Linked DNA regions of Canis lupus familiaris. The protein of the gene in region 1 interacts with the protein of each later gene in a biochemical or structural test. Links are inferred from orthologs where the notes say so. Each region holds a gene or a part of one and is shown in the gene's direction. Other genes may lie near its edges.

Evidence for each region.
Region 2: the proteins of S100A6 (region 1) and CACYBP are reported together in a solved structure, tested with the Homo sapiens proteins (2 studies listed by BioGRID and IntAct, with this or other methods). The link is inferred for Canis lupus familiaris from reciprocal best matches to the Homo sapiens genes S100A6 and CACYBP.
Region 3: the proteins of S100A6 (region 1) and CEP43 form a complex in vitro, tested with the Homo sapiens proteins (2 studies listed by BioGRID and IntAct, with this or other methods). The link is inferred for Canis lupus familiaris from reciprocal best matches to the Homo sapiens genes S100A6 and CEP43.

Annotation. Positions count from the first base shown.
Region 1 is NC_049228.1:43,489,475-43,493,991, forward strand, and holds S100A6 (protein S100-A6), read left to right. Parts: upstream 1-1,912; 5' UTR 1,913-2,049; exon of another isoform or gene 2,050-2,168; intron 2,169-2,338; 5' UTR 2,339-2,359; coding exon 2,360-2,497; intron 2,498-2,826; coding exon 2,827-2,961; 3' UTR 2,962-3,064; downstream 3,065-4,517. Other genes in the region: S100A5 (protein S100-A5), read left to right, coding at 698-841. UniProt on the Homo sapiens protein: May function as calcium sensor and modulator, contributing to cellular calcium signaling.
Region 2 is NC_049228.1:24,276,860-24,282,865, reverse strand, and holds the start of CACYBP (calcyclin-binding protein), read left to right. Parts: upstream 1-2,657; 5' UTR 2,658-2,833; coding exon 2,834-2,854; intron 2,855-2,937; exon of another isoform or gene 2,938-2,956; intron 2,957-3,056; exon of another isoform or gene 3,057-3,205; intron 3,206-3,624; exon of another isoform or gene 3,625-3,713; intron 3,714-6,006. UniProt on the Homo sapiens protein: May be involved in calcium-dependent ubiquitination and subsequent proteasomal degradation of target proteins. Probably serves as a molecular bridge in ubiquitin E3 complexes. Participates in the ubiquitin-mediated degradation of beta-catenin (CTNNB1).
Region 3 is NC_049222.1:55,409,362-55,414,587, forward strand, and holds part of CEP43 (centrosomal protein 43), read left to right. Parts: intron 1-2,225; coding exon 2,226-2,306; intron 2,307-4,539; coding exon 4,540-4,599; intron 4,600-5,226. UniProt on the Homo sapiens protein: Required for anchoring microtubules to the centrosomes. Required for ciliation.

The DNA of each region.
Region 1 (4,517 bases):
GAGTTTAACAGGAGCCCAGTCTGGGGGCAAGGACCACGGCACAGAGATGTTGTTTCCATCTCCATCTGTCCTGACGCCCGTCTCCTGTGGAAAAGTGGGAGCTGAGGGCAGTAAAGAGAGGAGGGCAGAACGTGTCTGTCTGTCTTCCTGTCCCACCCAAGGGCCCTGTCTCCATCCTCCTAGTGGAGCAGGACTGGGAGAGCAGGGGACAGACGGAGTGTGGCTGAGCCAGGGATTCATCTCCATATGGCTGTGCCCCCCAGAAAGGGAGGTGGCAGTCGCTGCTAGGCCCCAACATTGCTCTCCTGGAGTGTTGTCGGGGTCAGTTCTCAGCTACCCACTGTGGGGACAGAAGTCTGGATCATGCTCAGTGCCACATAGTCACCAAAGCATTTCTGTTAGACATTGTATAAAATCCAGATGATTCTTTCTTTGGATGATGGGAAGTGCTGAGGAAAGGGGAGGGTGGACCAGCTTTCCTCTGGATATTTGCTCAGACTAAGAGTCAGGTCACCACATGGTGCCAGGCCTTGTGCTGGGTGTGGGCTGGGGACACTGTGGGGGTTGAGACGTTCAGTGTTGCTGACCTAGCCGAGGGTCACCCTGAGGCTATCCTCCCAGGGGTGGGTGGCACCGTGCACTGGGGGGCAGGGCTGAATGGGGTGGCTGACCTGTCCCTCTCCCTGTGCTCTTGAAGAAGATGAAAGAGAGCGGCATCGATGATCTGATGAGGACCTTGGACAAGAACAGTGACCAGGAGATCGACTTCAAGGAGTACACGGTGTTCCTGACCACACTGTGCATGGCCTACAACGACTTCTTCCTGGAGGAAGATAAATGACCAGGGTTCAGCCCCTTGCCCCTGGCCTCTTCAGCTGTCTCCCAGACACTCCCTGGCCCCTGGCCCTGCTCTCCCTTCTGGACGGACCCTGCTTCTGCCTTCCCTTCCAGCAGAAGAAATAAAGATTTTTCCATTCCTGGCTGGTTTTGCAGATGTCTTGGACACCTTGGCTGGGGGTGGGTCGGGCGAGGCAGGACTTCTCCCTGAGCTGAGTCTCCGGGCATTAGGGTCACCTACCTCCTGCCCTTCCCAGTGTGGATGCCAGCCGGCTTCCTGGGCTTAGTTCTGCCCTTCAGGGAGATGGGGAAGTTTGGGGCAGGCTTTCACTTGCCTTTCAGAGAAAGCTAAGAGGAAGTGCTTTGAGGAGTACAGGTACTGGGGAGGGTCCTGAGGGTAGTGGTGGACAAGCCAGCCTGAGGCTACCCCATGCCAGCTTCCCCCAGCAAGCCCACCCCACCCCACCCCACCCCACCCCATCATCTGTGCTTTCTGTTGTCTCCACTCCCCGCTGTGAAAATCCTTTCACTGGAGAGCAGCTAAGTAAGGCCAGGGCTGGTCAGCAAGTGCTGCCCCGCAAGAGGCTTGCAGGTGGGATTCCAGGCTGGGCTGTGGGGGTGCGGGCGGCGCGGAGGAAGGGCTATGGGGGTGAGGGTGGGGGTGCAGGCGGGGACGGAGGGCTGTGGGGTGTGGGCAGGAACTTGCTTCTGTTGAGGGGTGGGTGCTGTAGATGCCCTTTGAATCATATCCTATAGACCTGGCTGCTCCCTCTCCTTCAGCTAGGGTTGACCCCGACACCCTCTGGGGACCCCCGCCCCCCTCCCCCCCCCGTGGGCTGTGGTGTTGGCCGGGACCTCGGTGTCACGGACCTGCAGCGGTCTCGCCTGCGATCCCCGCTCCACCCTGGGAACGCGGAACCCGGAACAGCCCCGAGCGGGAGGCGGGGAGGGCTGACCCCCCTCCACCCCCCCCCCCCCCGCCCCGGCCCGCCCCGGGGTGTGTCCTGTAGACGCGGGCGCCCTGCGGGCTTGGGTGGGGGCGCGGGAGGGGCCGGGGGCGGGGCTGGGGGGGACATCGGCGAGGGGGGGCAGGGCGGGGTTGGGGGCCTGGGGGCGGGAGGAGTGGGCTCCGGCCGCCTGCCCTCGCTCCCGGCCGCTAAAAGGCGCGCAGGCCACCGCCCGTCGGTCCCTGGACGCTCTCCCGGCCGAGCGGTGAGTCCCTGCGCGCCCAGCAGGCGCCCACCCCGGCCCCAGGGGCCCCGGGCTGCCGGGGCGTGTGCGGCTCCCCTCAGGCTCCCCAGCTTCTCCCGGGCCGCTCTCGCTGCCGTCCGGTTGGTTCCTTGGCCACCTCCCTCCTGCGGGCCTCCAGGAGCGCCTCTCCCTCCCCTCAAGCCCTGGGCTGACTCCTGATGGGGACCCCGGCGACACAGCTGTTGGGGAATGTGGGTGGGCGGGGGGGGGGGGGGGGGGCTCTGGCACTGAGCAGCCTCTGCACCCCCAGCTCCCAGCCCAGTGCTCAGCCATGGCGTGCCCCCTGGATCAGGCCATTGGCCTCCTCGTGGCCATCTTCCATAAGTACTCGGGCAAGGAAGGCGACAAGAACACTCTGAGCAAGAAGGAGCTGAAGGAGCTGATCCAGAAGGAGCTGACCATTGGCCCGGTGAGTTAAGTCTCCCCTAGGCCCTAGAAGCAGGGTGAGGAGAGGGAGAGGTGCCAGGTGCATCTGACTCACAGTTACTACGTTCTGGGGACCCAGCCCACATCGTTTACTGAGACCGTTGGTCACTTCCCGATACTCGATACTCTCAGCCTGGTACCTGCCCCCAGTGAGGAGCAGGTGTGGAGAACCAGCCCAAGGTGGACTCGCATCTTTGGTGACAGGGAGAGTGCAGAGCTACTTGCATGAGTGAGGGCTGCCTGGAGGAGGAGAGGAAGAGAACCTCAGGCTCTCCTCACATTGAGTCTGGATTTCCCATTCTGTCCCGTTAGAAGCTGCAGGATGCTGACATTGCAAAGCTGATGGACGACCTGGACCGAAACAAGGACCAGGTGGTGAACTTCCAGGAGTACGTCACCTTCCTGGGGGCCTTGGCTCTGATCTATAATGATGCCCTCAAGGGCTGAGCATACAGCAGGAAGGTGGAGACACCACCCTCCATCGGGCCTGCCTAATTCAGATCCAGTGCTGGGTAACTGTTCAATAAATACCTTTCTTTGGTCAAGTCTTCCTCTGTGTCCTGGTAGCCTAGTGATTTATGTCCTGCTCTGCTTGGTTGCTGCACCAGCCATCAGAGTTTGCTCACAGTCACCTCTGGGGGTGACTTGCAAGGCCCCACACTTGGGGCCACCCTGATGAGGCCACTGCTAGGTCATAAGATGCCTTTACATGGATTCGAAAAGAGTCCCACTCTGGGCGAAGGCTCACGTGGTTCCCAGGAAAGAGGTTTCTGGGATGGGAGTGGAGAAGGAAATGGTGCCTGAACCTGGCTCTGATGGGTCTAGATTGGGGCAGAGAAAGTCCGGGTGCTGTACTTTTGGGATGTTGGTGAGGTTGGCGAGGTCTGGAGCCAAGAAAGAATTCTTGAGATTTCTTTGGTGCAAAAAGGTGGTTTTGTTAATGCACAGTGACGGGACAGTGCAATTGATTATTGAGGTTGGGGGAAGTAAAGAGAAGTTCCAGAAGGATCTTTATCAGCTAAAGTAGATTCACAGGATCCTGGGGGCATTGTTTTTGTCCAGCTAAGGCTGTTTTTCCCTCTAGCAGGGCATTGAGACAGCCGGGAGCTTCCTAGAGGAAGGTTCTGCTCTGCTGGCCTCAAGGCACTGCAGATAACAAGGGTTTTTTACATTTCCTTCTGCCTGTTCCCCTGCGTGGCTAGCCGGGGCCCTGAACCCCTGAAGACGATCGAGTTGCCTGTTTGGCCCTGGCTGTGCCGCAGTGAAGCGCAGGCAGAGAGGCCGCATCTGGCAGGCCCAGAGCCTGGCTGGAGAGGCCACCCGGGACACTGGATGGCTGCGTCCATGGCAGCTGCCCACCACCCAGTTGAAGGGGGGGCCTACTGTCTCCGTATTCAGTGTGTAAGTGTTCTTTGCATTGGGGGTGGAGGTCTGACTAGCTGGCAGCTGCAGGGGGTGCTTGGGATGGGGGGGGCAGGCTAGCCACGGCTTCTGGCCTCTGGATCAGTATTCAGTGAGCCCATCCCTGTAGCCTCAGAATGAATCACCCCAGTCATTTCATGGGAACCAAGCCTGGCTCTCAGCCCCTATCAGGGAGGATGACTAATTGAATTATTGTGTGAATCCATTGTTTGCATTTGTGGTTTCAGGGCATGGGGTGTGGGGGTAAACTGTATCTCAGGGCAATGGGGCATTTGTCACTGTTCTCTGCCCTCCAGGCCTAGTCGGAGCCAGACAAGTTCCTCTGTAAGTTCTGGGCACCTCGGAGGGAGACCACATCCTCCTTCCCCTCTTCCTCCCCCACTTCCTGGGGGCCCAACTTGGTGGAATTGTTGTCCTTCTGTACGGGCTACAATGAGTGAACAGGGGAGAAAGGGCAACGGGCTACGATGGGGAGAAAGGGCAACAAGTCCTCTAGTAACCCCTCCTGCCCCTCAGGGAGTCAGAATCACCAGCCAGGGACTCAGCCCCCACAGGCTGAAAAGCCTCATCTCAGCCTTGGC
Region 2 (6,006 bases), about 19 Mb from region 1:
AAACACCATAATAATTTCACTCATATGTAGAATTTAAGAAACAACATGAACACAGGGGAAGGGAAAGAAAAATAAAGTAACAGAGAGGGAGGGCAGCTCGGCTGGCTCAGTGGTTTGGCGCCACCCTCAGCCCAGGGTCTGATACTGGAGACCCGAGATCGAGTCCCACGTTGCACTCCCTGCATGGAGCCTGCTTCTCCCTCTGCCTGGGTCTCTGCCTCTTTCTCTTTGTGTGTCTCTCATGAATAAATAAAATCTTAAAAAAAGAGAGAGAGAGAGAGAGAGAGAGAGAGAGAGGAGAGGAGAGAGGAGAGGAGAGGAGGGAGAGAGGGAGAGGAGAGAGGAGAGAGGAGAGGGAGAGAGGGAGAGAGGGAGAGGAGAGGGAGAGAGGGAGAGAGGGAGAGAGGGAGAGAGGGAGAGAGGGAGAGAGGGAGAGAGGGAGAGAGGGAGAGAGGGAGAGAGGGAGAGAGGGAGAGAGGGAGAGAGGGAGAGAGGGAGAGAGAGAGAGAGAGAGAGAGAGAGAGAGAGATCCCTGGGTGGCGCAGCGGTTTAGCGCCTGCCTCTGGCCCAGGGCACGATCCTGGAGACCCGGGATCGAATCCCACATCAGGCTCCCGGTGCATGGAGCCTGCTTCTCCCTCTGCCTGTGTCTCTGCCTCTCTCTCTCTCTCGCTCTGTGTGACTATCATAAATAAATAAAAATTAAAAAAAAATTTTTTTTAAATAAATAAATAAAAATAAAATAAAATAAAATAAAAAAGAGAGAGGAAAGCAAACCATAAGAGACTCTTAACTATAGAGAATAAACCAAGGGTTACTGGAGGAGATAAGATGGCTAACGGGCATTACGAGGGCACTTGTTGAGATGAGCCCTGGGTGTTATACGTAACTGATGAATCACTAAATTTTACTCCTGAAACTAGTACTATGCTAAATGTTAATGAACTTGAATTTAAAAGAAAAAAAAAAGACGAGTAATAAAATAAATCACCTAACTTTAGACTACCTGGTGGTAGAGGGAGTTGCCCCACGTCCATCGTCAAGCAAATTAGAAAACCACTGCCTAAAAAAAGAAAAGAAAACCACTGCCTTACGTCAAGCTTTCACGCAGTGCAATGGCTTATTTGTTCCTATTTAAGTGCAAATAATCCCAGGCTTTTAGCTGGACACTTTTTTAAAAACAGGAAGTTATTATAAAGCAAAACGCACGTATCTTCGGAGTTCATTCCATCAATTTTGACAACGGTGATGTTTGAGCTTAACATTTCACCTTCTCAGGAAAACGGCCTCCTGGACGTACTTAAATAGAACTCCTAGCTAAGTATTCCATACAAAAAAATTGCACTTAAGTTTACAGTTGCATGAAATTTCTACAAAGTGAACACACCTGTAACCAACATCCAAATCAAGAAACAGGACTTTATCTGAACCTCAAAGCCTCCTGATGGCGGTCATTGTCCTCCCCATCCAAGGGAAGACCAGCCTGATTTTAAACACCCTAATGACTTTTGCTGGCCTTAGCCTTCGTTTAAATAAAACCAAACGACAGGAGCGCTTCTGGCTCCTTCCCCTAAGGTCACGTCCGAGTCGCAAGCTTACTAAGCAGCCCTGGTGGGTCCACTTCCCTGGCGCACTCCAGTCCTCCACCGCGCAGTGGTCAGCCCGCACCCTTCAGGCAGCTTTCACCCTCCTCACCTCGCTGACTCTAGTCGCTACCTTGGGCCATATGTACAGCGGGGTGAGGGCGGACTGGTTTTCCAGAGGTCACTAGGTGTTCACAATCGTGTTGCCGACGTTTTGCGGCGGCCAAAGGCTAGAATTATCTGAAAAAGAGGATGATGATGTAATCCCAGGAAAACTCAGCCTACGTTTTCTCTGGTTAACAGGCTCAGTTAAATCCAATTCAAGCCTGAGTCACAGAATGTTCGCTGAAGGGGACGAAGGTACCAGAGCAGCAACCCAGTCAACGGGGAAAGGCGGCGCCCCACTGCGGCCGGGCACCGCGAGAGCCGGGGTCAGCCGCCGCAACCCCAGGCGGCTCCACTGGGCCCTGTCACGTGGCCAGCGCAACCCCCACCCCTTCCCGTGGCGCTCCGTGATGACGCAAACATATCGTAGACGCTAAACCGTGGTGACCTCTCGAGGGCGTCGGACCCCACGGAACACCGAACTGTTCCCTTCAGGACACTAACTGTCAGTCTTTTCCGTTTTAACATAAAAAGGCTGCCTCTTCTCCCCCCTGGGGTCCGTTTCTCGCAAACGCTCATAAACTAGCTTTAGACAAGATGGCAGCCCTCCAGGGGACGAAACCAGCCGACTCTAACCAACTTCCGGTTTGGACCCCAAAAACCAGTACGTTATTTCCGGGGTTGGGTTAAGGCGCGTCATGACAGCGGTTCTGAGCTGCGACTGCGCAGCGGGGACACGCGAGGTCAAAGTAGAACACGTACAGTTTCCCGGGCGGGGAGGAAGAGGCGTTACTGTTCTCGAGCTGCTGGTTTGCTCGCGAGAGTTGAGCGTTGCTAGGAGGCTCGGCGGGAGGGGCGGGGCCAGGGTCGGCGGGGCGGGGCTGGGCGGGGCTAGGCGAGGCGGGCGGCGCGCGCGCGGAGTGAGGGGTTGGGGGGGGTGCGCCGGCGACGGACTCGCGAAGGTTCCAGAGGCGCCGCGTGCGGGAGGCGGGCCGGGTCTCGCGCCGGGTCGGGTGTGCGCGCAGGCTTGGGGCGCTGCGAGCCGTGCGGGTGGGGCCTGCGTCCGGGCGAGTGCGTTCCGTGCGGTGTTTCCTGTTCCCTCCCCTGCGCGGCTGCAGCTCGGGCCTTGCCTGATCAGCCCGACCATGGCTTCAGCTTTGGAAGAGGTAAGGGTCTGGCTTCATCTTCCTCACGCGGCCGTGCGGGGCTTCGAGCGCCGGCGCTCGCGCCCGTCCCCCGCCCCGCGTACCTAGCGGAGGAGCCGGCGGCCGCCTCCCTGGCTCCTTCCTGCGTCGTCGGCTCCCCGACCTCTGCCTCGGCCGACCCGCCGCCCACCTGCAGCGGCCCCTGCCGGCTTCCGGCCTCCGGCCTCCGCTGAAGTGGTGCCCCCGGGGAGCGGGGCGGGCTGGTCACCTTCACGTTCCCCTCAGGCCCCGCCGCTCCCGCCGGCCGAGCCCGAGGACGCGAGGCTGCTTTACGTAAACGCTGGCGGCAGAAACCGAGGTGCACTCCGCCGGGTGAGGCTGCCGGCGCTCGGCTTCCAGTCGCGTTTTCTCAGCGCGCTTTAGTGGCTGTGTGCCTCGGGGCGAGTTGTGCGCTTCTCGGCCCCACAGCAGTGTCCATTTCCGAGTTAGAAAGGCCAGGCACTACTATTAAATGTTGAAAACCCTGCCTGGCAAACTGTAGCGTGCTATGTGGGCTTTAAAACTAAGTAAATTGGACGGTTAAGTGTTACTAGCGGTGGGAAATAGCCATTTTCTCTTGTAAGCTCTGTGAAGTCTGAACAGGAACGGTTTAACTTTTTTTTGAAGACTTAGTTCGCGCACTTTCAAAATGGGAATAAACCGTACTTGCATTGCCCTTTTCCTGGCCCAAGGTGGTTCTCCATACATGATACTGCTGAGTGTTAACTAGATTTGTTCTCTGGAAATCTTTCCCTCAATATGAACAAGTTTGAGAAATCTCATACCTGACTTGGAAGTCCTTAGAATCTGCTGTAGATGAAGAAAATGCGTGTGTGCGTGGGTACGTATTATACTGGATCCCTTGCCCCGGGTCTATGTTCTGTCACAGATAGGCCTTGGCTGCCCGAGTGCCCTGGGGAAACCACCTCTGCAGTGGCTTTACGGGCACACTTTATGGATAGCTCCGTATTAGCCCTCTTCAAAATCAGGGATTTTTCCTCAGTTGAGGTAGTTAAAAATACACTCAGGTTTCTGGGGTTGTTTTTGTTTGATATAAAATTCACTGTTCAATCATTTTAAAGTGTGTTGTCCATTGCTGTTTAGTACATTCAGTGTTGCACAGCTGTCACTTCTTTATAATTCCACAACATTCACGTCATCACCAAGAGAAACCTATTAAGCGTATTAGGCCATCCCTTACGATTGTCCCTCCACAACCACTAATTGCTTTGTCTCTGTGGATTTGCCTATTGTGGACATTTCATATAAATGGAATCTTACGGTATGTGGCCTTTTGCTTTTTGGCTTTTTTCACTTAACATAATCTCTAGCTCCTCCGTGGTGTGGCGGGTTTTCCTTTTTTATGGCTGAATAATATTCCATTATATGGATATGCCACATTTTGTTTCTTCTTTATCGGTTGATGGACATTTGGATGATTTTTGGCCATTGTGAACTGTGCTGCTGTGAATATTGTGTACAGCTTTTTATGTGGACGTGTTTCCAATTCTGTGAGGTGTGTATCTAAGAGTGGAATTGCAGGAGCTCGTGAATTCTTTTTTTCAAAGTGGCTGTACCACATTACCACAAACTGTATGAAGGCATCAGTTTCCACCTACCCTTGTAAGACTTGTTATGGGGGGGGGGGGGGATTTTTGTTGATATTGGCCACCCTGGGGGTGGGAAGTGGCATCCTATTGTGATTTTGATGCACATTTCCTAAATGATTAAAGATGTTGAGCATCTTTTTTCATGTGCTTGATGTGATGGCTGTATTCAAACTCCTTTGCTTATTTTGAGACCCTTTGGTTTTAATGCTTCTTGTTGAAGAAATCGGAAATAGATAAGATAAAGCTTGAATATGTTTATGGGTGGCGGTAAAAGGAATGTGTGATTTTGCATAAGGAACACGAATGCTGAGGTAAATTAGATGAGAAACTGCTGTATCTATGTCATAAGTATGTGTGCAGAAAAAGTACCAAAGGGATCAATGTTACTGGTTTCAGGTCTGCAAATAACAGAACTGAGGAATTAAAAATAGGCCTGTTGGAAAGTCGCCTCAGAATTAGAGTGGCTCCCTTTTTTTTATAGTATGTGAGTCAAAACTGGCTGTAAAGAGGGCCTGAGAATCCCTAATTCTCAGAGTTAAGTCTGCTAGAAAAAAGGGTATCTATCCAGTCAAAAAAATAAAACATCTTGTTTAGACTTGATATATTTTCTATTTTGTTGTTGTTATTACCTGAATCCTTACTTGGGAACAAATACACTGATTTTACATTTCAAAATTTTTATCATATTGGTGTTAGAATCCATGTGAATTTTTTAGATCACCATAATGAAATATTGCTTCGAACAAAAGCATCTTGGATCTGTGCTTAAAAAGATGAAATTGCAGTATTGTCTTAGTAATATGAGTTTTTGGGGGGAGGCGAGTAGATAAATAAGGACAGGAGAACTGCCACAGTTGGACTTTTTATTTACCATCCTAGTAGTTAACGGTAAGTGAAGTGAGAGCATCAGAGTTAAATGAGATGATAAAAGACTAAGGGGTAGAAAGCATTTGTTTTTCTCTTCATTTTGTAAGACTTAGAAAACAAAGACTTTAAAACTCTACTTGGACATTATACTGAGTTATCAAGCATTTAAAGTTTTTGTTTTGTTTTGTTTTGTTTTTTTAATTCATTAGAGGCAGAGACACAGGCAGAGGGAGAAGCAGGCTCCATGCAAGGAGCCCGACGCCGGACTCGATCCTGGGACTCCAGGATCACGCCCTGGGCCGAAGGCAGGCACTAAACTGCTGAGCCACCCAGGGATCCCTGCATTTAAAGACTTTTATATTGCATTTTTAAAATATGATTTCAGGCTAAAGTGTACAAGGTCAGATTGCTATTAAGCCAGAATGTAGTTATTTTAAGAAAAATGAAATCCTTGTTTGCAAGGATCTTTTGCATTTGTAGTATATCAGAGGATAATTGGGGAAAAGGTTTTAAGCTGATTAATTATCAAAGAGTGTCTTCAACTATAGAACTTCATAAAATATTGGCCCTCTCTCTAGAAAGTAGAAATAAACACTGGTAGGCGATGTATTGGCACGCAGAGAAAAGAACAGGTGGTTTTTCAGTGATCCAGGAGTG
Region 3 (5,226 bases), on another chromosome or scaffold:
TTAGCGGTTTGGCGCCGCCTTCAGCCCGGGGCGTAATCCTGTGGACCTGGGATCGAATCCCACGTCGAGCTCCCTGCATGGAGCCTACTTCTCCCTCTGTCTGTGTCTCTGCCTCTCTCTTTTCTCTCTGTGTCTCTCATGAATAAATAAAATCTTTAAAAAAAAAAAAAAAAACTACTGAGGTTGCTGTTCCCCACATCCTTTAGCGTGACTTTGAGTGGATTTTGCAGGGTGTTGGATGTTCCCCAGTATGGACAATTCCAGCACTTGGTTGTTGGCTGTGCCGCCCCCGTGTCCTCCCATCTAGGGCATCCTTTAGTCAGTCACTCCTGTCCCGTCAGCAGCACCCTCTGGTGGTGCTGTCAGCAGTCTGCATCCAGCACCCTTGCTGACTTAATTTTACAGTTCAGCTCTTCATCTTTTCCTTTCCTCTTTAAAAATTGTAGTCATTATGTAATGGCAACCAGATAGTTTCCAGATTTCTCATCCTTGATGTTAATTAAGATCCTGTGTGATGTGGTGTCAACTCATCTTTCTAGCCTTATGCCTTTTCTTGAAACGTGGAACATATGTTTCAGCCAGGCTTGCTTATACTTGAAAGTGGCTTTTGCTTTCTTGTCCTCTCATCTGCTCTCCACCTGAAATGGTGCATCATCCCCATACCCCACTGTGGAATGTTGTCATTCCTGGTCTGTCTTGCCCTCTGCCTTCTGGGATGCTTCCTCTTGATTTTCCTGTCTCCCTGCTGGCAGGTGTTGTAACTGAGTGCCTGGCTTTGCCTCGGTGTGGTAGCTGCCTGCCGTTGCCTGGTCCTCTCCACACATCATGCCTTTGCTGGGGACAAGGGCTTGGTCTCACCTTTGTAGCCTTTGCAGGGTCCAGCCCAACTGAGACTCTTCTTCTTTTTCAAAGATTTATTTATTTGTTTTAGAGACAGTGCTTGCGTGCAGGATGAAGGGGCAGAAGGAGAGGGAGAGAGAATCTGAAGCAGACTTCCACTGAACCTCTTGCGGGGCTTGACTCTGAGCTCATGACCTGAGCTGAAATCAAGAGTTAGATGCTCCACCAGCTGAGCCACCCAGGTACCCTGAGGGGGAGGATTCTTAACAGATGATGTATTTCAAGGTCAGTAGGAACCTTTTGCAGACTTCTGTACAGAGGAAGTACTTGTTTGGAAGGTGAATTTGTGAAGGTTAGATGGTGAAATTGGGAGACGTTCAAAGACTAGAAGAAGTGAAACCCACTATAAGGCTCATCTAGACAGGAATGGTGGCAGTAAATGCAGAGATAAATGGGCAGAAAAAGATTCTCCTTTAAAGGAAGAAGGAGCAAGATTTGGCAAATTAATCTTATGGCAAAGGAGTAGGGTCTCAGAGGGTGATATGGCAAGAAGAAAAGCTTGCAAAGGTGAGATGAGGTTTTCAGCCTGGGAGAAGATGGTGCTGTACCAGAAGTCATGGGGCTCAAGGGAGGAGCAGGAGGCATGAAGAGCAGCACATTTCCATATGTAAAAACTATAGTCATGGGAAGGATTTTTATACCAAAGTAACCAATATGTAATATGCACACAGTGCACATAGCTGCTTATGATGTAGTGGATGAATTTTAAGAGGTTATTTCCATTGAAGAAACATTTAAAAATTTCTCTTTTGCATTTAGCATAGTGCTGAGAATCAACCAGCTGGTGCCCTGAAGGTGGTGGTTTTGTGATGCTGCAGGGTGGGGTACAGTGCAGTGGGGTGGCCAGAGATGAGACGATAGCATGAATGTGCAGAGGAAGAAGGAGAGTGTGGCTCTTTGAAGAGGGTGGTGTGATTTATGAGCTGCTGTTTGATAGTCTCGTGACAAAAGGAAGGAGAGAAGTGAGTCAAGAGAGGGTGAAAAGACTAGATGCATGAGAATCACTGGCCGGTGCTGGTGCAGTCACTGGGACGGGGTGCAAAGGGATCGTGTGGGAAGGTCAGCCAGGGTGTGTTGAACTGACGACTGAGTGGCTTGCGAAAGGTGACAGAGTGAAATACTTAGGTAATTAGAATCTAAGTGTGTTTTGTTTTGTTTTTGTTGTTTTAGTAAAATTGGAGAAAATCTAATACGATTATATTATTTAGAAAGAATTAAAGATACCATTGTGTAGTGGTTTTAAATGCTAAAAATCTATTAGGCATAATGTATATTTACGTTTTACTTTAAAATATGTTCTAACCTTAAACTGTGAAATATTTTAGGGTGCACTAGATCTATCTGATGCACATTCTCCACCAAAGTCACCAGAAGGCAAAACAAGTGCACACAGTGCTCCCAGTAAGGTGAGTTGGCTGCAGGGACACAAGGACATCTACAGGGCTCTGGTTTTCTCTTGCTCTGACTTGTTCCAAGTTTTGTTTTGCAATGCAAGTGCTGTTTAGTTTCTTGAAATTGCTTTTTTCTGCTTGATGAAGTGTATATTGAAAATTATTTCACGCTGTTCATAGTGTTAGGAATTTTGTGTCATAGAAAGGAATGCTCTGTTAAATCACAGGACTCTAGGATATTTGGACTCATTTGATACTTTGAAAATTTTCTTCCTTAGTTGACAAGATTTACTTTTCATTTATGAACTCCTAGCTTGAGGATCCTAGGTTCCAGACTGTTGTTCCAGAATATTGTGTTGAATGTTGTAGATAGGAGACAAGTTTAGGAATGCAAATTACAATGATTTTTTATATTAATGCGCTATTTTGAGGATTTATAAGAAAATATGTGTGCTCTGGTTGGTTGTGTGTGTGTGTGTGTGTGTATGTTGTGTGTGTGGTTTATGGGTTGTTAAAGTTAAGGCCTTCTGATTTCAGGGATTTGGCATACTGGAGAAAAATACTGAGTGGAATGCTGAAATTTCAAGTCCATGATCACAAGAATGGGTAGAACGTGATTGTTAGGGAGCATGTTGTCTCTTGACTGGTTGCAGCAGCCAGTCCCACCTAAGGATGGGTTTGGGTCGGGTTGTGTTGTGACTGTTGCTCTGATTGCCATCTTGCGGGATTAGGGTGAGGCCCCCCTGAGTACGCGGTCAGAGCAACGCTTACCAGTGGTTCCTGGTCCTGTGTTGATTTGGCAGTACAGTTGTGCCTCTTCCATTAGGTGACTCCTAGAGGGCAGGGGTTGTATGCCTAGATGTCTGTCTTGCAGGTGCCTGGGCTTAGATACCAAGTGGTTCCTGTTGTTTTGTCCCTGGGTCTGTGACATTGCATTTGCTTTTTATCTTTTTTATTTCATCTTTTCAAATCATAGGATTTTCTGCTTTATTTCCAGCCCAGGAAAGAGACCATCATGCAGTTTGTACGTGTCCCTCCTCTCTGAGATCTAGTTAGCTTCTCTGTGGGGAAGGTTTTCCCTCCATGCTAATGGGAGGCTGTAACTGTGGTTACAGAGAACAAGGTCGTGAGTAAATTTGAAAAGTCCCTTTTAGTGAATTGTCAGATACAGGAGTCTTTGTGAAAAAGCTGTGCTTTCTGTGAAAATGTCCGGCTGTGAAGGGGCTAAAATTAATGCACATACCAGAACATCAGTACCTATAGCATTGAGCTGTTTGGAAGTTCTCTTTTTAGCAAATTAGTATTTTGTAAAGCAAATTAGCACTATGAACCTTTGACATGTGGTGTGTGTTCAGGATAACATTAAAGTCTTGGACATATTTTCTCTATGCAGATTTTATTTTTAAGATCTAAGAATTATGATGAGAATCTTTTAAGTCAGTTAGGAAATGTGGCCTTAAGTACAGAGAAGTGCTGTTAATTTTAAAAGGTGGATTTGGAGAGTGGCAATCCCCTCCAGGTGTCCCCTTACTTGCTCTCACCACCTTCTGTGGGTTGCCCGTGGGGGCGCTGGAGGCCCGTGGGGGTGGCGGAGGCCGGAGGTGGGGCAGCAGAGGCCCTGTGAGGGCGGCCATGCCCTCAGTGCCATGGAGGACTCATTTCAAGATGAGGCCTTCTGGTGGCAGTTCTGTGTAGTTCTGGGTATGTGGATTTGGGGATTAAGCACTTTCCCCACCTTTTTCTTGCCAGCTGTCTTTTATTTCTCAGTGGTCTTTGAATCATTTTGGGCTCTCAGCATACCTGGTTGGTCTGGGTGCCCATGGAGAGCACTAGGAGCTGTGGGACGTTGTGGCCAAGCCTGGAGCCCAGCCCCATCCACAGGAACCCGCTTTGTGTGCTCCTGAGTGAGGCAAGGCCAGGTGAGGCCAGGGCAGCTCCTGGAGGAGAGTGCTCTGGAGGCCGGGCCTGGCTTGGCCATGGAGCGCAGAGATGCTGTGGGGCAGGGCAAGGTCGCAGCGTGGACGTGGGACCCAGTAGGTGTGAGGTACGGTAGTTACACGGGTGGAACCACTCGAAGAAGAGAATTAAGGAATGAGAAGAAAAAATATGGGTTTCAGAAAGGAGCATATTGATCAGGGCTTCCATTCCTGAGAGCTTTTCTCATAGGAAACTTTATTAGTTTGATGAATTACTTTCTTTGTAAAGATTTCTACTTTGTGGTAAAATGTCATTTTATTCTCATGCTCAGATACCAAGGTATAAAGGACAAGGTAAGAAGAAGACAAGCGGGCAGAAGTCTGGTGCCAAGGTAACATGCATGAGGGCAGAGGGAAAAAGCAGCCTGTGCCACCGCAGACCGCCAACTCTGTGGGCCTCCTAGCGGGCACTGAATCCCTATTGGCCGAGGGTTCAGTGTTCTATGCCAGTGTCACTGTCTTCTGTCTGAAATCAGAATACAACCAAGTCATGGGGTGTAGAACAAAAAGTAATTTGATTTTTTGATTTTTATCCAGGTGAAAATCATACTGTTGGATTTTAAAAATGTGCTGTCAACAGGCTTTACTTGGAGAATTCTTTGTTTTGTTGGCAATAAAAAGGTTGAAAATACATATTTTCATTTTGAATGGATGGTCATGTACATATTCTTAACGTTATGATTTTTATCTGAGGTAAATAGAGCATGAAACTGCTTTTTGGATAAGTCCCAATTGATAAATTGGAGGCTAAACTTAGTTTCTTTCAAGACATTTTTGTGTTCAGCATTCAGCAACTTATCAGACCATTGCACAGTGATTAGCCTTCCCTGAAGCCCTGGCTCATGGTAGGCCCACTGGGACACACAGGGCTGGGCGAGCTGATACTGCAGTGATGGGTGCCATGGCTGCTTTTTTTTCCCTCCCCAAAACATGACAAAAATTGACTAAACCAGTAGATT